Nothobranchius furzeri: one gene and its partners. The protein of the gene in region 1 purifies or fractionates together with the protein of each later gene. This does not show direct contact. Links are inferred from orthologs where the notes say so. Each region holds a gene or a part of one and is shown in the gene's direction. Other genes may lie near its edges.

The links.
Region 2: the proteins of dnajc7 (region 1) and vps13c purify together in Homo sapiens (co-immunoprecipitation; 4 studies listed by BioGRID and IntAct, counting the BioPlex papers as one, with this or other methods). This does not show direct contact. The link is inferred for Nothobranchius furzeri from reciprocal best matches to the Homo sapiens genes DNAJC7 and VPS13C.
Region 3: the proteins of dnajc7 (region 1) and ift122 purify together in Homo sapiens (co-immunoprecipitation; 3 studies listed by BioGRID and IntAct, counting the BioPlex papers as one, with this or other methods). This does not show direct contact. The link is inferred for Nothobranchius furzeri from reciprocal best matches to the Homo sapiens genes DNAJC7 and IFT122.
Region 4: the proteins of dnajc7 (region 1) and stub1 purify together in Homo sapiens (affinity purification with mass spectrometry; 3 studies listed by BioGRID and IntAct, with this or other methods). This does not show direct contact. The link is inferred for Nothobranchius furzeri from reciprocal best matches to the Homo sapiens genes DNAJC7 and STUB1.
Region 5: the proteins of dnajc7 (region 1) and pld2 purify together in Homo sapiens (affinity purification with mass spectrometry; 3 studies listed by BioGRID and IntAct, counting the BioPlex papers as one, with this or other methods). This does not show direct contact. The link is inferred for Nothobranchius furzeri from reciprocal best matches to the Homo sapiens genes DNAJC7 and PLD2.
Region 6: the proteins of dnajc7 (region 1) and mlf2 purify together in Homo sapiens (affinity purification with mass spectrometry; 3 studies listed by BioGRID and IntAct, with this or other methods). This does not show direct contact. The link is inferred for Nothobranchius furzeri from reciprocal best matches to the Homo sapiens genes DNAJC7 and MLF2.
Region 7: the proteins of dnajc7 (region 1) and bag5 purify together in Homo sapiens (affinity purification with mass spectrometry; 4 studies listed by BioGRID and IntAct, with this or other methods). This does not show direct contact. The link is inferred for Nothobranchius furzeri from reciprocal best matches to the Homo sapiens genes DNAJC7 and BAG5.

Annotation. Positions count from the first base shown.
Region 1 is NC_091745.1:16,068,566-16,072,687, reverse strand, and holds the start of dnajc7 (dnaJ homolog subfamily C member 7), read left to right. Parts: upstream 1-1,322; 5' UTR 1,323-1,384; coding exon 1,385-1,461; intron 1,462-4,025; coding exon 4,026-4,114; intron 4,115-4,122. Other genes in the region: nkiras2 (NF-kappa-B inhibitor-interacting Ras-like protein 2), read right to left, coding at 150-243. UniProt on the Homo sapiens protein: Acts as a co-chaperone regulating the molecular chaperones HSP70 and HSP90 in folding of steroid receptors, such as the glucocorticoid receptor and the progesterone receptor.
Region 2 is NC_091749.1:66,486,813-66,490,312, forward strand, and holds part of vps13c (intermembrane lipid transfer protein VPS13C), read left to right. Parts: intron 1-31; coding exon 32-179; intron 180-432; coding exon 433-571; intron 572-647; coding exon 648-757; intron 758-825; coding exon 826-992; intron 993-1,422; coding exon 1,423-1,682; intron 1,683-1,785; coding exon 1,786-2,012; intron 2,013-2,085; coding exon 2,086-2,178; intron 2,179-2,257; coding exon 2,258-2,488; intron 2,489-2,569; coding exon 2,570-2,701; intron 2,702-2,918; coding exon 2,919-3,008; intron 3,009-3,111; coding exon 3,112-3,267; intron 3,268-3,500. UniProt on the Homo sapiens protein: Mediates the transfer of lipids between membranes at organelle contact sites. Necessary for proper mitochondrial function and maintenance of mitochondrial transmembrane potential.
Region 3 is NC_091755.1:54,395,013-54,398,512, forward strand, and holds part of ift122 (intraflagellar transport protein 122 homolog), read left to right. Parts: coding exon 1-45; intron 46-152; coding exon 153-219; intron 220-287; coding exon 288-434; intron 435-1,327; coding exon 1,328-1,403; intron 1,404-3,500. UniProt on the Homo sapiens protein: As a component of the IFT complex A (IFT-A), a complex required for retrograde ciliary transport and entry into cilia of G protein-coupled receptors (GPCRs), it is required in ciliogenesis and ciliary protein trafficking.
Region 4 is NC_091756.1:32,255,875-32,259,506, reverse strand, and holds the end of stub1 (E3 ubiquitin-protein ligase CHIP), read left to right. Parts: intron 1-512; coding exon 513-629; intron 630-2,555; coding exon 2,556-2,681; 3' UTR 2,682-3,132; downstream 3,133-3,632. UniProt on the Homo sapiens protein: E3 ubiquitin-protein ligase which targets misfolded chaperone substrates towards proteasomal degradation.
Region 5 is NC_091750.1:48,064,658-48,068,157, reverse strand, and holds part of pld2 (phospholipase D2), read left to right. Parts: intron 1-2,931; exon of another isoform or gene 2,932-2,952; 5' UTR 2,953-2,959; coding exon 2,960-3,092; intron 3,093-3,171; coding exon 3,172-3,299; intron 3,300-3,500.
Region 6 is NC_091745.1:74,062,665-74,065,475, forward strand, and holds part of mlf2 (myeloid leukemia factor 2), read left to right. Parts: coding exon 1-19; intron 20-110; coding exon 111-146; intron 147-359; coding exon 360-413; intron 414-508; coding exon 509-637; intron 638-1,744; coding exon 1,745-1,904; intron 1,905-2,028; coding exon 2,029-2,234; 3' UTR 2,235-2,238; intron 2,239-2,459; exon of another isoform or gene 2,460-2,531; intron 2,532-2,811.
Region 7 is NC_091758.1:10,654,799-10,658,889, forward strand, and holds the start of bag5 (BAG family molecular chaperone regulator 5), read left to right. Parts: upstream 1-1,291; 5' UTR 1,292-1,325; intron 1,326-1,523; 5' UTR 1,524-1,613; coding exon 1,614-1,666; intron 1,667-3,732; exon of another isoform or gene 3,733-3,868; intron 3,869-4,091. Other genes in the region: coa8 (cytochrome c oxidase assembly factor 8), read right to left, coding at 20-140, 358-448, 571-634, 1,094-1,291. UniProt on the Homo sapiens protein: Co-chaperone for HSP/HSP70 proteins. It functions as a nucleotide-exchange factor promoting the release of ADP from HSP70, thereby activating HSP70-mediated protein refolding.

The DNA of each region.
Region 1 (4,122 bases):
TTTTCAACCAGTCTGTATCAATGAGTGCTATTTTCTGAGCTGTAGTCTGTTGCAGAAGCATATTATTGTATGAAATGACGCAGAAACAGCTTTTTCTCAGACAATTTTGATCATCTTTGTTCAGTTTTTACAGAAGCCTGGTGACATACCTGCAACATGATTGGCATAGAGCAGCTGTTCCAGTACAGCTGTTTTACCAACTCCAGCCTGACCACACACAACTACTTTACAGCTTTTTCCCATGATGACGTCCTAGTCCCTAGTAGGAAAATCTGTTGAAGGAATAAAACAAACAGATTAAACCCTGCTGAGCCAGTTAACATTAAAACTGTAGAGAAAAGAGTAAATGTCATAAATGACATGAATAAATTTATTATCAGTCGCAGTGTGATTTTAATTTATTTTATAAACATTATAAGTATTAACAGCATCAGTGTCATGCAGTGATCTGGCATCTGTGAACAACGGAGTTGTAAAAACTCTTTCCCATGTCTGAAGACCGTAAACACTAAGGCGGTTTTGTCAGAATGTTGATTAAAGAACAATTAGTGTTTATTTTCAATACCTTTGCTCAATGATAATTGTTTCATAACATGAATAAAGCAAAGAGGTCAGATATTGTTTTCAATTGGGACACTTCCTGAATAATTTTGACCTCCTCCTTATTGGAGGCTCCAAACGACGTTTCTGCAGAAGTGCTGATATATTAGCCATAGAGGTGTTCCTGTTTGTTTTCTTTTATTTCAACAGCAAGTCTTTTAATGAGTGTAAAAATACATAAAAATTAAATAAAAATAAAAAAGCAAGTGAAAATGAACAGCAGACTGACAGGATCCAGCATTCCCCAAATGCAACATAGTCGACCCAAATCAAACATAAAATGCTTCCAAGGTGTAACGAACAAAACCAGACACAGCTGAGTCACAAAATGAGAAAAACATCCTGCTAGCTCTCTGCCTTTCCATCTCCTAGCCTTTCCATTGCGTTGGCTAAATAAAACTCTTTTGTTTTTATTAACTATTAATGTCAAAATTGAGTAAATAATTTTAGAATGAACATAGTTGCTTTTCTTTGTGGGCTTTTAGCCTAGCATTAGCTTTCATAAGATACGCAACTACAATGTCACCGTGTACGCAATGGACGTAAGCCAAACCTGACAACACTTAGTACATGTCGTCAAACATACACTGACTAGCTTCGTTCTTGGCAAAAGTTAATGGTTTGTAGTATTATTTAACATTACTGACAGACTGCTTTCTTACCTAGCGGGCTAGTTCCTGTTTACAGTGTACGTAATGACGTTTTCTTGCAAAACTGTGACTTCCTGTTTACAGCGTACGTAACACCGCAGTATGAAACCCCGCCCATTCTCATTGACGGTAAAATGGCGACAGACAGCTGTGATTCTTCGAACGCGGAGCCTGACATGGAGCTGCTCATCACTGACGAGGATATAGAAAGGTTTGAAAATGGCAATGCCTTGTTGTCAATGGTTATCGGATACACAAATAACTTGTTAGTCCAACGTGTGTTTTAACTGCCTTGTCATCGGAGTTTTCTTGTCGCACTTAAATGCTAACTAGCGCTATTGCTAACTGTAAGCTAACGTTCGATAGCCTTGTTCCCCTTCTCTAACTTCTCTGCCGGATTTAAACGAGGATCTGAATTTGTTTTTAGTTTCATAGCATTAGCGTTGTTTGGGCCTTTGCACCACTGCCGTATTTTCTGATTTTGTAGAATGACACTGTTCTCTGACTGTGTGGTCGTGATGTTAAGCTTTAAGCCATCCAAATAAAGTCATGGCAGTTGCACGGAGCATGGTGTCATATGTTCCTGGCTCTGCTCGCCTTGCCTGCTTCACAAAATAGCTACGGGTTGGCTGCTGTTTAGACTCTTTCTATGTTTAGCTAACGCAGACCGGAAAATTCTGGAATGCATCATAGGCACTGTCCCTTATAATCACAGATGTTCTGCATTGGTTAGGAGTATTTCAGCAAGCCTCTAGTTACCATCCAGATGTATCAAAGCAAGTTTATTGCAAAGAAGATATTCTAGTCAATTTTAGGTTTCAGAGGGTGAGTCATTAAAGCATAACTGGTGTATTGTATAGGAGCTAATCTAAAGTTTAAAGTCTAGTGGTTGTTGAAAAATATTTAGTTTAGTATTTCAGGACAGTCAAATCAGTGGCGTCCAAACTTTGAGAAATGGGCAAAAATAAACAAGTTAGAAGTACTGGGAGGAGTTTATTTATTTTTTTAATGTAAAAAATGTTCTGTTATGTCTTTATTTGCATCCCCTCAACAAATCATAAAACACAATGTTTTATCAAAGAGGAATTAACATTTTTGTTAATTTTAGTGTAGTGAAGATCAGAAAATTTGTGTATTTTTGAGCCATCTAAAACATCTCGTATAACATGGAGTCAAACTCCCTGAATCTGATAAGTTGATTGCTTTAGCAGAATCTAGATTGCCTCTGCTTTAGTAGTGTTCACTGTATTTCAGTGGTTCTCAATCCTGGTCCTGGGCGGCCGGTATCCAGCATGTTTTTGTTGTTTCTTTGCTCCAACACACTTGATTCAGTGGTCAAATCACCTGTGTAGCAGGTCATCAAGCTCTGCAGAAGCCTTTTAATTACCTGCTGTTTGAAATGAGGTGTGTTTAAAGAGGGTTAAACCTAAAGCTCCTCCAGGACCAGGATTGAGACCCGCTGCTGAATTTGATCAAGTTTTCTAAAAGATGCTGACAAGTCTGCCATTTAGTTGGTCAGTGAGGGTTTGGTTCTAGTTACCATTAGATCAGTATAAAAGCCAAACAATGTGGTTAAAGACAAATGTTTTGAACTATTCTTAACCTATTCCATTTTATAATGATTTAATTCATCCGTGTTCTTGCTAGGTCTCACATTAGTAAAAGCATCGAGATTAACACAAAGTGTGTCTTCATCAACAACCTGGTCTACAAGGACAACATTACGCCATTCACAAACTGCAGTAGAGGTGTGGTTAGGAACTAATCAACACTCTTGCTTAAGAGTGTAAAAATGGAGTTTTAAACAACTCTTGTTTGTGGTTTTAGATCAGTTAAACATTTTCTGTAGAGATCTGCAAACGTTATGGGTAAATTGTTGGCTGTAAAATTGGCTTGACTCTTAAACTTAGAAGTCATGCTACTTATTAAGTGTTTTGCAAAAACAATATATTGTGTTGTTCCATACAAAAAAATTTCAAAAACTATGGAACTCTTTCAGTTTATTTATCATATTTGTTGCAAATTAGCTAAATAAGTTCCTCTGCTATAGATGAATCCATTAAAAGCAAGTTGCTCATAGTACCAGTCATTTTATATTTCATTTCAGGGTTTCTTCCAATTCTCTTTCTCAGGTTATTGGGTGGTAATATGTAGAGCTGGGCAATAAATCGAAAATGTATCGTTATCGAAATGTCTCACTCTTATCGAGAATTATTCCCATGTCAATAAATTTGATAATAAACAATGAAAAGATGTGTGTAGGTTGGCAACAACCTACACAAAGTCACGTGACCCCACAACATTTGGTCTGTAACCTGAAGGGAGATGGTGAGGACACAGATGACTCAAATGTTGGAGCTGTGGGCAAGGGCAGCAGGTAGTGGACAGCAGAAGCTGGTGACAGCGAGCAAATCCAAAATGTTGTTAAAGGGAACAGTCAACTGTTGCTGTACTGGCAGTTATCATCCAGTTATGGTCATCAAGGCAAACTGCTCAATACATTTAGGCCATGTCACCCAGCCCTTCTCCAAACTAAATGGCACAAATGCTTCAAGAAAATTTCAAGTTTCGGAATAAAATCAGGAACTATCAGCCTCACTGTGAACAAGTGGTTTAGGGAGCTGAATGGATGGCTTTACAGCCTTTAACCCCAATGGAAATACATGGCATGTGCTTTGAGATGACTACTCGTTGACCTAATTCTTGGCAAAAAATCATTACTGACCTGATCTCATTTTGCTCTGATTTTTCTGTTTCTCTGCCTTCTCTCCACAGGGAAGCGGAGGGCTTTAAAGAGCAAGGCAATGTCTTTTATATCCAGAAGGATTACACAGAGGCATTCAGTTATTACTCCAAGGCTATCGGTAAACAT
Region 2 (3,500 bases), on another chromosome or scaffold:
CTGATATAAATGTGAGGTTCTTGTGCATCAGAACCTGTTTGGACCCAGACTCATGCCGACCCAACATCGAGCTGCTGGAGCCGCTCAACCTGCAGCTGGGTGTGAGGAGGAACCTGTCAGTTGGCTGGTACCAGGAGATGGCCGCTGTGGAGGTGGATGGAGACCTCAAGCCCATGAAGGTAGGAAGAAACGGAACACATCACAACGAGGTCACAGTGAAATTATTGTTCATGTGTGAAATGTGCTGGTCCAGTTCTGTCCCGGTAAACCACCAAGGTGCTGTTTTCTCTCCTCTTGAGTTTTGACGGGGTCTTCCCTAGACCCACGTCAGACTCTAGAGGCCCTATGCTAAGCTAGGTTAACATGTTTGTGTCCTAGTGGACCTGTTGGAGCAGAGCTTGGTTCTGTTCTGATCCTGTTCCGTTTGTACAGCTGGAGCTGAGTCAGGACGACCTGAGAGTCATGCTCTGGATCCTGACGGAGAACCTGGGAGAGGCTTCTGGTCCGAGTCCCAGTGCTCCCAGACAAGAGGCTAGTCAGCAGGTCCCAGCTTTCAGGAACCCCCCCACAGGTCCGACTCAACCCGAACCTTGAGTCCCATTAGTCAGGTTGTCTTATTTAACGTCACCGGTCTTCTACCTGTTCAGGTGAGTCTGAGAAGCCACCGGAGAGCAGTGGCAAACCCGTGGAGACTGTCCGGTTTAACTTCAACATTGAGTCTCTTGGTCTGGTTCTGTACCACAACGACCCCAAGCAGGTTAGTCAGAACCGGGTTAAATGTGAGGTTCTTGTGGTTCTGGTCTTACTGTTCTCTGTTCTCGGCAGCCCACAGGCCTCCAACACCAGCAGAACCTCAGACTTGGAGAATTTGCCCTCCAGCTGCTGAAAACGTCAGGAAAGATCCTGAATGACGGCAGCATGGAAGTGAGCACGGTTCTGACTGCCTGCACGCTGGATGACCTGAGGACGGGGATGGACCGGGCCACGTCTCGGTAACAGTCACACGGTTCTGATCACAGCATGTCTTCCATCAAAGGAAAACCTGTCACGGATTTTAAAAGGAAACCAAACCGTCAGTGTGATGGGTGGAACCGCTGACGGGCCAGTCTGAAACTCAAAAATCTGGTTTTATTTTTGGTCCATGAAGGAGCCAAAGAGGCAGCATTCTGCCAATTTCACTTTAGGAGTCAGAACTTGTATAAATTATATAAAATTTGATAGTTTACATTTGGAATTTTATAAGAAACGTTTTCGTATCAACTCTTGAGATGATGTTTATGTCAGTCTGCACAGACAGGAAGCTGCCCCGCTGCAGTAAAATCCTGGATTAGGCCTCAGAACAATTTGTTGCCTCTATCAAACTAAATGTGACACTTAACCCTCAGAGAACAGAGAAGTTGTTTTTGTGTCGACCTCCTGCAGGATGGTTGGGCAGAAGGAGGAGAGCAGCTCCCAGGCCATGATCGATGTGACCTTCAGGCAGAACGCCTCGGAGCGGGACGTGGTGGCGGTTCTGCAGAAACTTTATCTGTGTGCCAGCATGGAGTTTCTGACAGCCGTCGCAGATTTCTTCCTGCAGGCTCATCCACAGACTTCGTCCTTGTCCTCGTCCACCTCTGCAGCACCGACCGAGAGGCTACCTCTGAAGCAAACGGCAGGACCGCGAGCTGATGCCAAGACCGGTGAGTCCAGGAACCAGTCCAGCTGTGGTCCTTAAATAAATAAGGACATATTTAATTGTCATGCTGCAGAACCAGGAACCCATTAGACATTCTGCCTCTGCAGCTTCAGTGGTGCGGACCCGCCTGCAGGCAGTGATCGTGGACCCGGAGGTGGTGTTCGTAGCCAGCCTGATGAAGGCCGACGCACCGGCTCTGGTGGCCTCGTTCCAGTGTGACTTCACTCTGCAGGCTGAGGAGGACGGGTCCCAGAGCATGAGGGCCAACCTGAGGGGCCTGAAGGTCTTGGCCTGCCGCTTCATCAGAGACAAGGAGGACAAAGCTTTCACCACCGTAGGTTTGGATCGGAACCTTTTCAACAAAACAGTTTTGTGGAAAAACAGATGATCCAGATTCTGTCCAACAGGTGCTGAAGCCCTGCTCAGTCTCCTTGGAAACAAAGATGCATCCCAACCAACCGCTGAGCGGCTCTGTGACAGTGGAGGAAGTCATCGTTAAGGTGCGTTCACTTACCCGTCTAAAGCTCAGACATGGGTAAAAGTGAGAGCAACTGTACCTGAACTCATCGCTGTCTGCAGATCTCTCCGGTCATCCTCAACACGGTGATGACGATAGCAGCTGGAATGACGAAGCCCAGCGTGGAGCAGAACCAGGAGACGAAGCCTGACATTGGAGACCTGTGGTCCACCATGAACATCTACAACTGTAACTTCTGGTTTCTGGGGGTGGACCAGGCTGTGGAGATGACCGAGAGCTTCAGAGAACCCGACGGACGAAACCAGGGAGAAACCTTCACGGCTCAGATCAAGGTAAAGAAGAGTTCAGGTGAAGAACCTCACACTTACCTGTTCGGGGTTCCCTCCTGTTAATGAGGTGTGGTGATCCCACAGGTGATCCAAGTGACTCTGGAGTCTGGTTTGGGTCATCGGACCGTCCCCCTGCTGCTCGCTGAGTCTTCCGTCAACGGCGTGGCCAGAAACTGGTCGTCTCTGCTGCAGCTGAAGGCTGACATGACGCTGGAGGTAAAACCTGATCCAGGTCCAGGTCCCAATGATGTGACCCACCTGAGTTCACATCTGAAGTTATTTTCTGGGTTAGATGTTTGTGAGCTTTTGTTTTGAAAATCTTCAGACTAATTCGTGAAATTGTGAGACGAACCACCTGAATCTTGTGTTTTTGTTCAAATCGGAGCTGATGAATAGTTTGATCACCTGTAATGATGCTGTGCTGCATCCTCAGGTGAACTATTTTAACGAGACCCATGCTGTGTGGGAACCTCTGATAGAGCGGTTGGAGGGCGGCCGACGCAGGTGGAACCTGGAACTTGAGGTAAAGCAGGTTGAGATCAGGAGTTTTACCCACAAGCACTTGGGTTTTTGTCTGGTAGTCATGAAACAGCTGGCTCTAGGCTCCACCCCTTCTCCTCCTGCAGGTTAAGAACAACCCAATCATGGACAAGAGCCCCATGCACGGAGACGACTTCGCAATGCTTCCTGAAGCTCGCACCGTCATCAACATCTGCTCTAAAGACACCATGAACATCACCATCTCTAAGTGCAGCCTCGGCGTCTTCGAAAACCTGGCTAAGGTACCTCACATCAGGACCAAATGGACCCCTAAGTCTTCCCTTACTCTTTTCACCAAAACTCCAGATGTTTCACTGTCTCTGTCCTTTAGCTCTTTGTCCTGACCCAGAGGACAGCATGTCCGACATAATGTTTAATGTCCTCTCCCTCTTCTAGAAGTGTCTCCAGCTCCACTTCAGTAACTCCTCCCGTCATCTCTGTGTGTAGACATGATGCATGATGGTCCAGAGAGGAG
Region 3 (3,500 bases), on another chromosome or scaffold:
ACCCGATCACTCACCAACTTGCCTCCTGTTCATCTGGTGACTTTGGTGAGCGTACACCTTTTTTTTTAAATCTGCACCAGACTCTTAAATATTCTGCATAATGCACTTTAAATGCAACCTGGTGAACTGAATGCTGTTGCATTGCCTTTTAGGCCTGTGGTCTCCTGAGCAAAAATCTGTTAATAAACATAAAGTCAGCAGCAAAGTAACATGTTGTGGGTAAGTTACTGTAATATTCTGCTCTAGCGAGTTTTTCTGCAGTGCATCCATGTCTGTTGTGGCTGCAGGTGGACAAACGATGGGCAGTACCTTGCACTTGGCATGATGAATGGGGTGGTGAGCATACGTAACAAGAATGGAGAGGAGAAGGTCAAAATAGAACGTCCTGGAGGCTCCTCCTCTCCTATATGGTCCATAGCGTGGAATCCCTCCAAGTATGTTGGTCATTAATATTAATATTATTATAAAATCATGTTACTGAAGCCAAATACAAATGCTTTTTTTCATGAAGATGTTATATGTTGTACTACTGCCCATATCTATGTGATCTTAGGTCATGTTTTCATGCAGCCAGCAGGTGGCAGTAGTTGACATGGGAGAGGATGCTACCCTCTAAGGCAGGGGTGGGGAACTCTGGCCCATCAAGGGTCGCTATCTAGCATATTTTAGTTTCAACCCTGCTTCAACACACCTGATTTCAACAGCAGGTGATTAACAGGTTTCTGCAGAGCTTGATGAGCTGCTGAACAGGTGAATCAACCACTGAACCAGAAGTGTTGGAGCAAAGACATACAGGAACTGGCCCTCGAGGACCTGGGTTCCCCACGCCTGCTCTAAGGCAAAGTCAGGAGCACTGCTGTAGCTGTTATAGTGGCCCATCTAAAATGTTGTTTAAAGAATAAGAAAGAATTAAGAAAATCTAAAAAGGAGGATAAGTAACTTAAAATTGGCAGCAAGTTATCAAGAAGATGCTTCATCAGTTATTATCAGTCGAGAGAGCGTAGTGTCGGGCTGGGGAAAGGGCTGTCTGAGCTGCTTGGGATTGGGTTTCCTGTGAATGAATTAAGGTGTGTTGTGACATTTTTGACAGGGTGAATGGGTATGCGGGCTTATCCTGTCATTCAATACTCTGTCTTGAGTTGACATACAATTAAAACCTATCAGAAAGAAAACATAAAGCTCTGTCACTTCCAGCGGAAAACGTCTCAGTCGTAAAGAGGGTTGGCCACTCTGGTTTCCTCTGGCATTTTCACTTAAACAGCCAAAGACCCCATCAGCACAGACGGTTGTCTTGAGCACTTAAGTCTGTGGTCTTTTCATTTCGCAGGGATGAACACAGTGACATTCTGGCGGTGGCAGACTGGGGTCAAAAGCTCTCTTTCTACCAGCTCAGTGGAAAGCAGGTGAATAAATCAGAAATCCATGTGGAGAGTCTCAAAACTAGCATATTACTCTTATTTCAGATATCACAACAACTGCACTGTGTTGTTTTTGGTCATGCTTAATGTTTCAGATCAACTAACAAATTTCAATATCAGACCTAGATAAAATTATCAGGTACAAAATAAATTTTTCACATAACGATTTCACCTATTGAGAACAACAACAGCTAACCAAACCAACCAGGCTCTTGTCAAGTCATGGATTAATTGTGATTAACCTTATAAATTAGGGCTGGACAATATATCGGCATCAATATCGGTATCGGCAGATGGTAGTCATTTTTTTAGCATGTTGGTATCGGTTCGATAAATAAAACCGGGCCAATATTAACAACCGATATTTTTTCCATCTCATCTCCATTTGTTTGCCTGTTTCAGAGGGTGAGGGGGTGATGTGTGATTTTTTTATTCATGTGAACAGTGAATGAAATATTCTCAGAACCGTAAATGTGTGTGTTGTGTGTACAAAATAATGCAAATTCAGCATCAGTAATTTTCATTCAATACAAGATCTGCTGATTTTAGAAGCATTAATGTCAGTTTATTGGCAAATATCGATAATATCGCCATAACAGTGATCTTAATATCGGTATCGGTCCAAGAATTTCATATCGGTGCATCACTATTATAAATATTAGCCCACACAGTAGAATCAAGAAATCACTTCAATAGAACTTGTCTGACATCATGAAATATGCTAAAAGACCTTAAAAAGCAACACATTCTGTCTTCAAATTCCCTTTTTGGTTCTTTTTTAAACACAGATGAGGTTTTTCTTTATCTTGCTGACGTTTCGTTTGCGGAAGTGACGCCACCATCAGCGTCAGCTCTGAGGATGTTTGCAGCCGCAAACGAAACGTCAGCAAGGTAAAGAAAAACCTCATCTGTGTTTAAAAAAGAACCAAAAATGGAATTTGAAGACAAACACAGCAAGAACGTACAAAAGAGATTCTGTCTTGCTTTGAAGAAATTCATAAAGTAAAGAACCCCAAACAAAATCTAAAGAAAGGTCTTTAAGGTGAAATAATGATGTGAAAACTACATTTTGTCTGATGTTAAAATGTATTTGCTGCTCTCGGAGCAAACATGGTTTCACATCACCATATTTCCATAAGAACACATAACATTTAACAGATTAAAGGCAGACTGTCATTATGGAAAAACTTAGATTTTAACACTCATTGTGCAATAACTTGCATTATATTACTAAAAGTAATATTGTGTTAAATACACTAATGTAACACATTAACTGAGCTATGGATCTGTTTCCTGTTGGATGCATTTAAATCATAACAGGTTATTATAAGTAATCATGTGATGCACACCAAGAAAAAAGCAATACACATTTTTAGGGAATTCTTTTCTTCAACTAGGACAATAAGAGACATAATGTGATGTAAGGCGTTAATGAAGTCATTTTAATAACAATATACAGTAACAATAATTACATTTTTAGTCAAACATTGCCATATTTAATCATACTGGGTGTGCACCGTCACTTAAACATGCTTCAGTAAGCCTTGAAGACTAAATTTGCTCCACTAAATGGTTGACCAGGACCTGAAAGGGTTAACGACAGCTCTTTCTTCTATTCTCTTTAGACAATACTGTCATTGTAGAAAAATATTCACTGTTTATGTCTCTGTTTGAATGAATTATGCTTGTGTGTGTTCTCATCTGCTCATTTCTCATTTTAAACGGCCGTCGTGTTTTGATTACAACACCAGGGATTGTTCACGATGACAGAGAAATAGCTGGAGATTTGTCAAGGAGGCTTTTTTGTGCACAGTGAGGAAAAACAGATGGACAGGACCGGGTGACCTGATGTTGCGCAAATGGACTTTGAACTCTAATACAATAGAGGCTTTTAAAACGAGAGAACCCCTTTCTTTTCTGTCTTTCTTTTCATCAGACTCAAAGAGATGGCTGAATGTGCTTTGAAGTGTGTGGCCCAGGCAGTGGGAAGGGTTGGCTCAGGCCCCTGGGCCATTAATATATATATATATATATAAAATGCTTGTTTTATTCCGGTTTTAACGTTCTCTCTTTGTTCTCTCT
Region 4 (3,632 bases), on another chromosome or scaffold:
ACAGTGTGTGTCTCCCCCCCCCCCCTCCCCCATTTTTGTAGTTGGCATAAGAGCAGCAAATATACTTGATTCTTCAGATCTGACTTGAGATCTGTTTTATTTAAGTCTATCTTTTGCGGTTATTTTATTTTTATACAACCTCAGTAACTTCACTGACAGATGAGATCGCATGAAATAAGATGGTTGTTTTAATTTTAGCGCAAGCTGTTTCTATGACGACTGTTACTTGCTGTTTGCCAAGTTTCTTGCCAGAGCTGGTTGTTTATATTGAGGTTGTAGTCGTATAAGGGAGGATGGAACTGGCCTTGAAATTAGAATAAGATGTATCAATCTGTTATGTGTTTGCTTAATATCGTATTAGGATGATCGTTGAGGCTTTTTAGGAGGAAGTGACATCAGTGTGGTTGCTAAGCAGCAGCTTGTTGATGACCTGGACCCTGTTAGACCAGAATAAATCATCTAATTGTATAGAAACCCTGATTGTTTAGAGTTTCCTCTTTTCCTGATTCCAGAAGCGAGAGATTCCAGATTATCTTTGTGGGAAAATCAGTTTTGAGTTGATGAGGGAGCCCTGCATCACACCCAGCGGGATCACTTATGACCGCAAGGACATAGAAGAGCATCTACAGGTAAACAGTTTCAGGTCTGCTGGTAGTTGGTGACTTGTTTTATTTGATTGTTTTTTTTTTTATCTATGTGTATGTTGTTGACTGTTTTATTTGTTTTAGCAACATCAACCTGCCAGAGGACTGCAAGTGGAAATTAGTCTTAAAATCTGGCATATTTACTGTTCATAAGTATGCATTGTCCTCCTTTAAATAAATAATGAATGAATGAATGAATAGAACAGCTTGTTAAAATGTGTGGACTGAACTGCGAGCAGGTTTACAGCATTGGTCACCATGGTGACAGACTCAGGTGACAGGTTAATTGTAATTTCCAACAGCATCTGAAGTTTTCTTCCTCAAGCCGCTAAAGCCAGGGTCACACTGGGCCGCCACCGCGACGTGAAGTGCTGATCCTGTGGTAGGACAGGCTTCTGTCCACAAGTCTAGACATGATCAGATCAGTAGCGGTGGGTTATGTATCACAGTACAGCAGCGACCATATGATATGTTATGATACAAAACAGCCTGAAGACCAGAGGCTTCCAGTGTTATCACGAGATCTCGTGAAGTCAGACTGAAGGCGGTAAAATCTGCTGCCACCTAGCAGTTGGAGGTAGAATTGCACCACACAAAGGGAAGCACAGTGGAAGATTATGTTAAAATGCTCTATAAAAATTTGATACACCTTCTTTTAAATATCAGCAATATTTCAGTGTATAGAAATTTTCTTGCATCTCTACAAATCAGTACTGGTTGTAACAGGGAGCCTATAGCCCCATTCCCACCTGTACCGGGTCGGCCCGGGCCGGGTAGCGTAGGTTGTTTACATATCTGGGTGGCCTGGAATTTTCCCGGGCCAACCAAGGCTCATTCTCGGCCCTCTTCCCGAGGAGGTCTGCTTCAGGCCGACCAGGGCCAACACACCCACTGCTGACAGCAAATTCACACCTTCCATTAGAGCAAGCCTCTGATTGGTGGGTAGAATCAGCCCATTCACACCTTCCATTAGAGCAAGCCTCTGATTGGTGGGTAGAATCAGCCCATTCACACCTTCCATTAGAGCAAGCCTCTGATTGGTGGGTAGAATCAGCCCACATGGGCTTAAGACAAGGATGTGTGGAATCAACCGGGCCAGGCTGGGGCCGACTGGGGCTACCCGGCCCGTGCCGACCGGGTACAGATGGGAATGGCCCATATGTCTCCTCCCCGTCAACGGCGCTGCAAAAGCTATTTTCTAATCTACTTTGCCTTTAACCCCGAGTCTCACATATGTTGTACTTTAGCTTAAATTCTAAATAGTAACGAGTTTAGATTATGTCTGTCACGTATTTTGAGATTTATTACCTTGTAAAAATTGATAATTAAAGTGGCCACAAATCAGACGTCGCATATACGACATCACCACAGTATCTCCTCTCCCCCAGCGTAGCGGCTACTTACCACATGGCCAGATTTATGGTGCTTTTCTACACGTTTAATGCTTTTTTTTGTCCTGGAAGAAAGATCCAAAGCTCGCTAAACTCAGTCGTTTTCTTCATCATGTCTGGTTTGACGACATCAATTTTGTGAGACAAACATTTGTAGTCTTATACATTTTTTCGCACAAAATCTAAAATAACTTTAGCCATTTTTTAAAAATAAGCACTTTCTTGCCATCAGAATGTGTCTTTAAAATTCACAGACAGCATTTGTTAAAGCCATAGCACATATTAAACGGGATCAGAAAACAGCTTTTATTGGCTCATCATGCTTTTGACAGTAGTGGACCCAGTAGATGAGCGTGGCTTAGGCTCCCTGTAGTTATCATTGGTTTACGTGGGTTAACGGTATTACAAGTGTTGGTTATTGGCACAGTTAGAAGAAAAGCTGTTCAGTTACTTTCTCTAAAGCATCAATAATGTAGTTGTGCACAAATACATTAAATCCTTCTTGTTTGCATTTTTGCAGCGAGTTGGTCACTTTGACCCAGTCACCCGAAGTCCCCTGACCCAGGATCAGCTGATCCCCAACCTGGCCATGAAGGAAGTGATTGATGCCTTTATCCAGGAGAACGGCTGGGTGGAGGACTACTGAGGAGGCTCGCTCCTTTTCTCTTCCAGGAGCCAACACCAGACCTGGATAAGAATATAGAGAACAGATCACCCTTTGCCTGGATATGAACTTTACTCAAGCCACACAGGAAACTACCAAACGGGGAGTATAAAGCATCCCAGTTTGCATCCTCCCAACGGTTTTGTTCTTGGCTGTAAAACCTTTTGTTGCAGCTCTCGGAGGCTTGGTGTTCATGGCCTGTTGCTCCCTTTAAGACCTGATCACTCTTTCTCTCGTTCAGCTTCTCTATCGTGTTTTTTTTTTAAATTTAATTTAATTTTTTTAAGTCGTCCAGCCTGACTCCTCCTGTCTTCATAATGGGGCTTGTACTCAGGTCTCTGCCGCACTCTGCCTGCTTTATCTCTGAGTGCCACAGTTACTGGGAAACATTAGCATCACACTCTAGTGTTTCACATATACCTACAGTAGGTCTCTAAATACACACATATATACTTAAATATAAAATAAACCAACAAATTTTGCTGACAGACATTTTATTTGATATCTAATCCAGTATTTTTGTCATATTTCATAAGAAAAAGAGCATCTGCCCATCTATTCTAGTATATTTGTTGAAGTGGTCAGAAATGCCAATAGACGTTTTTAGTTTTACTTGATGCATCGAGATGCTGGTGGCGCTCAGACCCAACCGTCTTTGTCACTTTAAGGATTTGAGTAGAATAAAAAGGTTTTCCTCTCCTTTGCATATCAATCACACCTTCAAACAGACAATTCCAATAAGTCGAATGAATGAGTTCTGTATTTTTTTTAGTTTTAGAGTCAGTCCTCAGCGATTTGCCATGTTTTTCTGAAACGCCTTGAACTGGAAACAGAAAATAAATGGCTGCATATATATATAAACAACGTTCCCACATTGCTGGATATGAGTTCAGAATGTTCAGCTGTTGCTAAAACCCGCGTTGACAAATGGTT
Region 5 (3,500 bases), on another chromosome or scaffold:
ATGGTTAACATCTGCTGCATGCTGGGCTCGAGTTTAGTTATTGCCACTTCAACCTTTGTTTGCCAACCTTTGTTTGCCATTCCTGAGGGGGTGACGGGTCCATACTGGCCAGATTGTTCTGTAAAGGGTTTTCTGGAGACCCTGAATTCAGCCACACACAGGAGTTAAATATATAAAAAGATACTTTATTAAAGGAGTAAGGGTTTGGGCATGAGCTGGGTCTCTGCAGCTAAGTACTGTTGAAGGGGTCAGTGTAGAGGGAAAATGTGGCAGAGGCAGAGACAAGGGAAAACGTTGGTTTGGACTGGAGAGTTCCCAGGATGTTCCTTAGACAGAAAACTCCCCCTCCCCTTCTGTCTGTGAATATGTCTCCTCTTCTGTGACACAGACAAATGTTATTGTCCATAAATACTCAGTCCATAGGCAGGGTTCGGAAACAGGCAAAGGTCATCAACAGAGAGGCAGAAGCAGGCATACTTAACAGGAGGAGCAGACTAGGATCAGAAGCCGTGGTTCAAAACAGGGTCGGAGTCCAGAGGTCAGAAAAGCAGACAAATCCTTTAAGGGCTAGGCAGAGACAATCCAGGAACGTGAACGTGGTACAGGGCTTGGTAGGTCAGAACGATGAATTGCTGGAATCCTGAGACAAAAGGCTACAGACAATCTGGCAGAGAGGCAGAGATCACTGAGGGTTTAAATAGAGGAAAGAACAGGTGTGCTCCATGAAGTAATCAGGCAGAACTCAGGTGAACTAAATGATGCTGATTAGTGCAGGAACGGCAACCAACATGACGGGCAGAATATCAGGAACGTGAATCATTACAGTTTTACTTAATTATTAATATTGTGGCCACGTAAACAAACACTAGCATCAATAGCTATTCTTCCAAGAGCAACCAGTATACGTCATCGCCCCAGAGTGCATTGTGTGCGGAAAACATGGCATCCTACGAATGTCCAAAAATGTACTAAATATTATAGATTTCTAAATAAACAGCAATATTTTGTGTGTTTCTAACAACATAGTTTGGTACAACAGAAAACTTCTGGCTTATTAGGGCATACACATCCTCATAGTCGGAATTCCTTTTAAGGCTTAATTTGTTTACACTGAAAAAAAAATCCTCTGTTCAAGTCCCTTATTTGTAACGTGCAGTTTCTACATAATTGGATTGAGTTTATAAGATGAACTTCATAAAAATGATAACTTAAAAACATACACTGTAATTTTTTACTTGGATCCTTTGTGTTGCACTAACTTAAAAAAATCTAGTTCAGATACATTTGGCACAAAAATCTCTGAAACGATTGCAACATAGGAGGACAGAAGATGTGCATGTGCTGAAGGTATGTAAATAAATGTCATCGATAACATGAACACAAGTTATTTTCTATAAAAAATATAGACACAGTAATTTTCCTTAGTGTGAAAAATTATCCTCATTTAACAAAAAAATATTTCACCAGCTGCTTTGGGGAAGAAATACTCTTTATTTTTGTTGCATAATTTTTAATGTTTGCCAAGTAACACAAATAAACTGATAGTGGAGGTGTAGATTTCTGTTCTGATGGACTGAACTGTGTTGTTATAAATGAAGAGTACAAAAGGTGAAGGGTGATGATGTCAGCAATGAGACGAGCACAGGTCATGTATGAGTGTAAATACGGTACCTGTTGGTGTTGAATTGTTGCTTGCAGCTCTAGCATTTCTTGTTCTAAGTTTTTCTTAGTTTATTTAGAGGTTATATATCTTTTATAACCACCGATCTTGTCCTAAAACATAGTTTAACAAATAAATTCAACACCAATCTTTTGTATTCAGTGTCTGATCTGAACTGCTGAACTTGCCGTGTTCCGGTATTCGTAGCTCGTACTCAGTAGCTCGTAAAACATTGACCTGAGGCGGAAATTTAGCAACGCTTCTGGGACGCGTCCAGTACCCCATCGCCCATCGCCCCAAGGAACTAAACCCATTGACTGTAACGGCAGCTATTAGTTGCATATTACCCTTCACAGGCGTTACGTGACTCTCATACATCCAGTGGAAAGCCAGGGTCAATTTGGAAAACTCCCAGAGGAAAAGTCATTTAGACATTAAAAAAAGAGCTCTAGTATCAGATGGTTGCAGGTGCAAAGGTTGGTTTCAACCATTATATATATTTATATATATATATATATATACAGCTCCAGAGCACTAGCTGCAGTACCACCAGACAGAGGAACAGATTCTTCCAGATCTGATGAAGCATTATAGCTCTGTTGCTTCATGCACATCAGACTTACACACACCTGTTTTACTTGCACAAGCCTTTGGAGAGTGTTTGCACAATTGCTACCTTGTGCACAATACTAGTCTAGTTTATTCTAGTTGGTTTACTGTTTGGTTTAGTTGTTACTAATGTAGTTTCCTGTCATTAACCCCCACTACCTTTACGGAATTTCAAACCATGTACCATTGAAATTTGTTCTTAGATAAGGAATAGCAGTTAGTTACTGCAGATAAGATAAATATCTACTCCACAGAAACCCACTTCAAAAGTCTGATCTATTGCTGTAATTTGTTTAAAGGAATCCATCTGGAATTTGTTGTCATCGTAGACTAAAGATAGCCCTTCCTTGACCGCTGCGTTGCTCCTCATATTACAACTGTGTATTTTAGGTGTGTGTGTGTGTGTGTGTGTGTGTGTGTGTGTGTGTGTGTGTGTGTGTGTGTGTGTGTGTGTTTTGGATCTTCTGGCTGTAGCCGAGGGCCTGGATGTCTCGTCTTCCTTAGATTTAGTTAGCAGCTGAGCTAGTGTCCAGGTGATGGGGTTGATGAGTTTTATGTATTCATATAAGCATTTCATATCTCACTGGTCTTATTTTAGTTATATTTTTGTTTTTTTTAGTCATATTTCAGTCTCTGGTGAGCTTTTATTTGTCACATTTAAGGTGATCTGGTCCCTCTAACAGCAGTGCAATGGCCTGTCCAGAGGATGTGGTTGAGCATTTGGTCGTGAGCTCAGCTGCACAGAACCTCGACCGAAGGCGCTTCTCACGAGACCTCCACAATCTGAGTCCAGATGAGTTAGACGGCCTCATATCAGCTGGTGGTGAGGCAACACGCATTTAAATTAGGCTTAGTGGTTCATTGAGAAATTTAGTCAACATTTTCCTTAAACTGTGTTGCAGAGGGTCGTTCGTTCCTCATGGTTCATTACCTCCCTGAAATTAGAGATGAAGGTGTACCTTACCTGATGCCGGGTGTTCCTATTACATGCAGAGTGGACAACACAGAGAAGTACACCACCAGCTCCAAGGTACAGCTGCTTTTGAATGTAAATAAAGTGTTTTTGTGGAGTTGTTATTTTTAAGTGTATCACAAGTAGTACCAGCATTATCACATGAAAAAAGTGTGTGAAAATGCTGTTTTTTGCTGTTTATCATATGAACCCACTTAGGACTAAATCCAACCATGGACGTAGTTTTTTTTTGGGGGGAGGGGGGGGGGGCACATGTCC
Region 6 (2,811 bases), about 58 Mb from region 1:
TCGTGCAGCACGCAGACCGGTAACTGATTGCTGTGAGAACAGTCCATTTGGTGTCTGAATTTTTATGTTACCTACATTTTTTACTTATCGAGTTATTTTTCTTTTTCTAGGCTGGCCCACTTGCTCCATTTGGCATGATGGGAATGGTGAGTAACTGATTCTTTAATAGCATTTGTGTATCATGTGACTCCCAACAGTTTACAGAGCTTTATGTGGTAAATTCTGTTATAGAAAAGGCTTGAACGGTGTCCTGTTGGGGTGGGAATCTTTAGGTTCCTCGTAATCTGATTTGATTACTCTGTGTGTTGTGTGAGGCTACTAAATGATCAATGATGCATTTTCTACCCGTATATTTGCAGGGTGGAGGCTTCATGGATATGTTTGGCATGATGGAAGAAATGATGGGAAACGTGGTGAGCAGCTTTGAAAACCTGTTTCTACTAACAAAATACTAGTGCACGAGTATTGCTTCCTAACACATAGTGCTTTTTTCCCCCTTCTCTTTTAGGAAAGGATGACCGGAACACCAAACTGCCAAACATTTTCCTCCTCGACAGTGATCTCCTATTCATCTTCAGACGTGGGGGCTCCTAAGGTTTATCAGCAGACAAGTGCAACAAGAACAGGCCCAGGAGGGGTACGGATAACCTCAAGCTTTTAAAATGTTGTGCATTAATAACCTGGAGATTGTGTCATCTGAGAAGGCTCCTTTCATTGCTAACATGGTACACGAGTTTAAAGGTTTGGAACACGGAAAAACCATTTTACTGGTTATTTCTGATTATAATCAGCCAATTTGATGCAAGCTGAACATGACAATGGTCTCCTACACAAGCTGCTGATAGAAAATAGACAGAAACAGTTCTACGTCACACTGTCACTTAACATTTATGGACTCACCCGTCCTGACTCACAACGTGGAAGGCTGTTGTTGGCTTAGCGTTTAGAAAACACCAGAGAACGTCTCAGCTAGTAGGAGATAACTGTTAGCATTAGCAACTCCACCACACAGCACAACTCCTCCAGATGTGTGCTATTTGTGGAGATAAAACATCAACGTTGCAAAACAAGCAGTGGAGGAATCGCATTGCTGTTATCCAATCAGAGGCAAGATGTCAAAATAATCAGGAAGTAAGATACTTGGCTGGAGGAGGAGCTACTTTCCAAGTCCAGCTTACAAATGGGCCATTCCCATCTGTACCGGGTCGGCCCGGGCCGGGTAGCCCCAGTCGGCCCCAGCCTGGCTCGGTTGATTCCACACATCCTTGTCTTAAGCCCATGTGGGCTGATTCTACCCACCAATCAGAGGCTTTCTCTAATGGAAGGTGTGAATTTGCTGTCAGCAGTGGGTGTGTTGGCCCTGGTCGGCCTGAAGCAGACCCCCTCGAGAAGAGGGCTGAGAATGAGCCTTGGTTGGCTCGGAAAAATACCAGGCCACCCAGATATGTAAACAACCTACGCTACCCGGCCCGGGCCGACCCGGTACAGATGGGAATGGCCCAAAAGCGTCCATTCCTACTAGAGATCTCTGCAAATGTATTGATTAAACAAGTGCTCTGCACCTAGTTTATTTCAGCATTACTGCGGTCTTTTAGCTTCATCAGCACATTAAATTACCATAAACTGTAATGACTTTCACTCTCGGTATAAATGTCACTTTGTGTCAAACAAACACTGCTGGCTGGGTTGGGTCTGAGTGCAGAAGAGCCATTTTAGTTTAGTTAACTGTCATCTTTCCTCTCAGATCCGTGAAACACGGCAGTCCATGAGGGACAGCGAGAGCGGCTTTGAGCGGCTCGCCATCGGCCATCATATTGGGGATCGTGCACACATAATGGAGCGTTCACGAAATCGCCGCACTGGTGATCGCGAGGAACGGCAAGACTTCATTAACCTCGATGAGAGTGAGTAGTGCTGATGTTCTTCTAACATCGGTTTATCTGTGGATCTTCAGGAAGATGGATGGAGAGCTAATATTGAAGGCAGGCTGGGTTTTAGTTTAAATATCCTGGCTTGTGTTCTTGTTAGCTGATGCTGAAGCGTTTGATGAGGAGTGGAGGAGGGGGGCAGGAAGATACACTTCCCCAAATGCTCGTGGGCTGGAGTACGGTCAGGATCCGCGTGGGGGAGGACAGCAGCTGGCCCTCCCGGCCCCTTCCAACTCAACGCCCCCTCATCGACATGAGTCTCCCAGACACCGTCAGCCCCAAACCCGCCCACGTTACGACTGGTGAGAAGGTAAGGTGGACGTGGACTTCATATGGATGCACCTAAAGTTTGAGTTAAACATTAATCCAAATTCTCAGAAACCACAGCAGCAGATGCTTTCATTCCCTTTAAAACAGACCATGGTTATGTGCTGTAATGGTTGAATCTGTTAATCTGGTTACATGGCTTATTTATTCAGCTTTGGCTTTATAAGATAAAGATAAGAATCCAGATATCTGTTGTTTTCATACCTTTGAAGAAGATTCCTCCAGCTGCAGTTGGAATCCCCAGTCCTGTAAAATATTGGTTTGCAGTTTTGAGATCTAGACCATAAAATCAAAGGGAAAAGTTTAATCAAAATGCGTCATTTTGCTGTTAGTTTGCTGCAGTCATCTCATTTACCAAACAGCTGATTGGTGGAGAACATTTTTTAACAAAAACAGGGAAGCTTTGGTTAGAAATTGTGACTTTCTGCTTGTGTGAAGTGAGAATGTGGCTCTGCTCAGACAGCTGCTGGCTCAACGGGAGCAGCTCGATCATCGTTGCTTCATGTTGTTGACCCCGACTTCAAACTGGAGGCATCAGCGACGCGGAACGGTTTAC
Region 7 (4,091 bases), on another chromosome or scaffold:
ACTGAACAGGATGATGCGGTCAGGTGTTCGGAGAGCTTTTGTTCTTCCTGTGGTGCCTCTCGGTAAAAGTCCTCCACATGCTGGTGACAGCGACTCGGGCCATGAGCACCGTGATGCTGAAGTTACGTCGGTACCACTCCCTGGATTGGGGAGGAGACAGCAAATAATAAATACGATGAAGCTTGATGATGCTGTGGAGGTTTTTCCTGGGCTTTAACTAATAAAGCCTGAACACAAACAACACTGACAATAAACGTCCAAAGTGTCCGGCTCACGCAGCAGCTCGTTATGAGAAAAGCTCCACAGAGGTGTGCGTGGGGGGGGGGGGGAACGACACCCGACGCAAAAACAACTCACCTGTTATAATTTGCATGTCGGAGCTTGTTTTGGTCCAAAAAGCTTTTGTAAAACAGAGCCATCTCTTCGCTGTTCAGGGACCGCCGTCTTCCTGAGCGGAGCAAACCGACACAAAGTGGATTTCATTCAGCATTTTCACAGTCCTGACTCCATTTTCAGTTTCATTTCGTTGTTGTGTAAAAAACACCAGAACATATGTATGAGAAGCCTCACCGTCTTCGTCACGCAGAGTCAAACCTTTGGCCTTCAGATGCGAAATGATGAAAGCTTCTTTTTCCTGCAGAGACTATATCAATCAGTTGTGTTTTTGGAAAAGTCTGTCTATTCAAATGAATCCAAAGGCAAGTTTATAACGCGGTCGCACTGATATTACATCTTTGCCTAATCAAATTCAAGCACGTTCGGGCTTAGATTTAGGATTGTGCAGCCAGATTTGATTTACATACATGCTCAAAACAGTTCTTTGTCTCATCAAGGAAATAAGACTGTTCGACGTCTGCTATAATTTCAAGCACCTGTAAAAATCCTGCAAGCTGGAAGCACAAGTCATGTTACACTTCCCTAATATGAACACGTGACCTCGTACGGCAGGTGACCGTAGCCTCCTAAGGACACTGTACCATACCTGATACCATCGACTCATTTCACTCCAAAGAAAACTTTCCAAAGGATTTTCTCCATTGAGCTTTGCTGCCACCTGCTGGTGACAACAAAGAATTGTAAGCAGCATTTTAACCTTGCTAAAGCTGATGTTCTGCTTGGTCCAAAACTCATGGTTCCAGTCTTCCGTCTCCTGCCTCAGCATCCTCAGCCGCTTCTCCAGATCGGATTCCTTCTCGGGGATGTGGTACACGATGGGACGCAGATTGGACAGAGGGTTCGGTGGACCGATCCAGTCATGTGTGGAGCTGGGCTTGGGCCTGAAGGTGGACCGCTGCATTTCAAAAACAAAATACAAAACTGTGAAGGTAAATTAATGTCAGTCTGGGACCAACACGGTAATTAGACGTGTTCCAGCCAAGCTGCTGCAGCTAGCCACTAGGAGGCTATTTAGGGTGTCTGTTTCTGTCTCCTACCATGAAAAAGTAGGGTGGTGTGGAAACTGTCTACTAATCCTGAGACAAGTAAAGGCTTAAACACATTTATCTGTGCTTTAACTGTTGAAGAGCTGGTCCTGTCCACAGATGAACGTCACAGAGCTGAACTGAGTCAACGCCACACGACAGCGAGCTTATCAGAACCAAACAGGCATCACGATGAAAGCAGCAAGGAGAAAAACACGATCCCAGACCCAGAGACCAACGCAACGGTACGGAAAAAACAGATAATTGTCAGAAATATTCTAGACATTTTAAATACTGTGAATACTATGATGCTCTGGGACATTACTTAGGAAAAAATAGAATAGTAAAAAGGACACAAAAACAGAAATGTGCATCTGGGTATGGTACTGAATGTACTGATGTTAGCATACAGGTCGTTCTCAAAAAATTAGCATATTGTGATGAAGTTCATTATTGTCAGTAATGTACTGATAAACATTAGACTTCCATATATTTTAGATTCATCACACACAACGGAAGTAGTTCAAGCCTTTTATTGTTTCTAATATTGATGATTTTGGCGTACAGCTCATGAAAACCCAAAATTCATATCTCAAAAAATTTGCATATTTCATCCGACCAATAAAAGAAAAGTGTTTTTAATACAAAAAAGTCAACCTTGAAATAATTATGTTCAGTTATGCACTTAATACTTGGTCGGGAATCCCAATGCGGCGTGGCATGGAGGCAATCAGCCTGTGGCACTGCTGAGGTGTTATGGAGGCCCAAGATGCTTCGATAGCGGTCTTAAGCTCATCCAGAGTGTTGGGTCTTGCGTCTCTCAACTTTCTCTTCACAATATCCCACAGGTTCTCTACGGGGTTCAGGTCAGGAGAGTTGGCAGGCCAATTGAGCACAGTAACACCATGGTCAGTAAACCATTTACCAGTGGTTTTGGCACTGTGAGCAGGTGCCAGGTCGTGCTGAAAAATGAAATCTTCATCTCCATAAAGCTTTTCAGCAGATGGAAGCATGAAGTGCTCCAAAATCTCCTGATAGCTATTTGCATTGACCCTGCCCTTGATAAAACACAGTGGACCAACACCAGCAGCTGACATGGCACCCCAGACCATCACTGACTGTGGGTACTTGACACTGGACTTCAGACATTTTGGCATTTCCCTCTGCCCAGTTTTCCTCCAGACTCTGGCACCTTGAGTTCTGAATGACACGCAAAATTTGCTTTCATTCGACAAAAGTACTTTGGACCACTGAGCAACAGTCCAGTGCTGCTTCTCTGTAGCCCAGGTCAGGCGCTTCTGCCGCTGTTTCTGGTTCAGAAGTGGCTTGACCTGGGGAATGCGGCACCTGTAGCCCATTTCCTGCACACGCCTGTACACGGTGGCTACGGACGTTTCTACTCCAGACTCAGTCCACTGCTTCCGCAGGTCCCCCAAGGTCTGGAATCGGTCCTTCTCCACAATCATCCTCAGGGTCCGGTCACCTCTTCTCGTTGTGCAGCGTTTTCTGTCACACTTTTTCCTTCCCACAGACTTCCCACTGAGGTGCCTTGATACAGTACTCTGGGAACAGCCTCTTCGTTCTGAAATTTCTTTCTGTGTCATACCCTCTTGCTTGAGGGTGTCAATGATGGCCTTCTGGACAGGAGTCAGGTCGGCAGTCTTACCCATGATTGTGGTTTTGAGTAATGAAGCAGGCTGGGAGTTTTTAAAAGCCTCAGGAATCTTTTGCAGGTGTTTAGAGTTAATTAGTTGATTCAGATGATTAGGTTAATAGCTCGTTTAGAGAACCTTTTCATGATATGCTAATTTTTTGAGATAGGAATTTTGGGTTTTCATGAGCTGTATGCCAAGATCATCAATATTATAGACAATAAAAGGCTTGAACTACTTCAGTTGTGTGTAATGAATCTAATATATATGAAAGTCTAATGTTTATCAGTACATTACTGACAATAATGAACTTTATCACAATATGCAAATTTTTTGACAAATGTTTGCATGTAAATAAATTCTCTCAAAATTTAGATACACGGCTTTTGAATATCGATACAACCATTGCAGGAAAAAATACCACGATATATTGCCATATCGATATTTTCTTACATCCCTAATCGAAATTCTGAATCATTAGATTTGACTGACAGGTACCATGAGCGTCAGAGCCCGTCAGTCAAATCTAATGATTCAGAATTACAATCCCTGGAACTAAAGATGGCTGATTGTCGGATCGGGGCCATATTCACTGAGATCAAAAGCTATTTCAGTTAAAACCATCCTAATAGGTGTGGTTACATTTTAACACAGGGCCTCTCGTTTGATAGTTGCATTACGATTCTTGCATCCATTGAGTTTTTGGAGAGTTTCTGCTTAAGTTTCTTTGCAGGAAGTCAGAATCACCTCCCAGACCTCCTACTTGGATGAGATCTGCCTCTGCAGTCCACAAAGGTTAGAGGATGTTGCAAAAGCTTCCTATAGGGTTGTGGTCATGGGTTAGAGTTAAGGTTATTCTCTCCTTTTTCTGCCCACACTTTGGTTTTTGTGAAATATCGAAGGTTTTCATACCTTACCCAAGGCATTCAACTGTTTCATGCTTTTCAGAGGCAGAGATAGTTTTTCTTGCCAAGCTGGTTGAAAATGGAAAATCCTTTTCAGTAGTTTCTCCTTAATT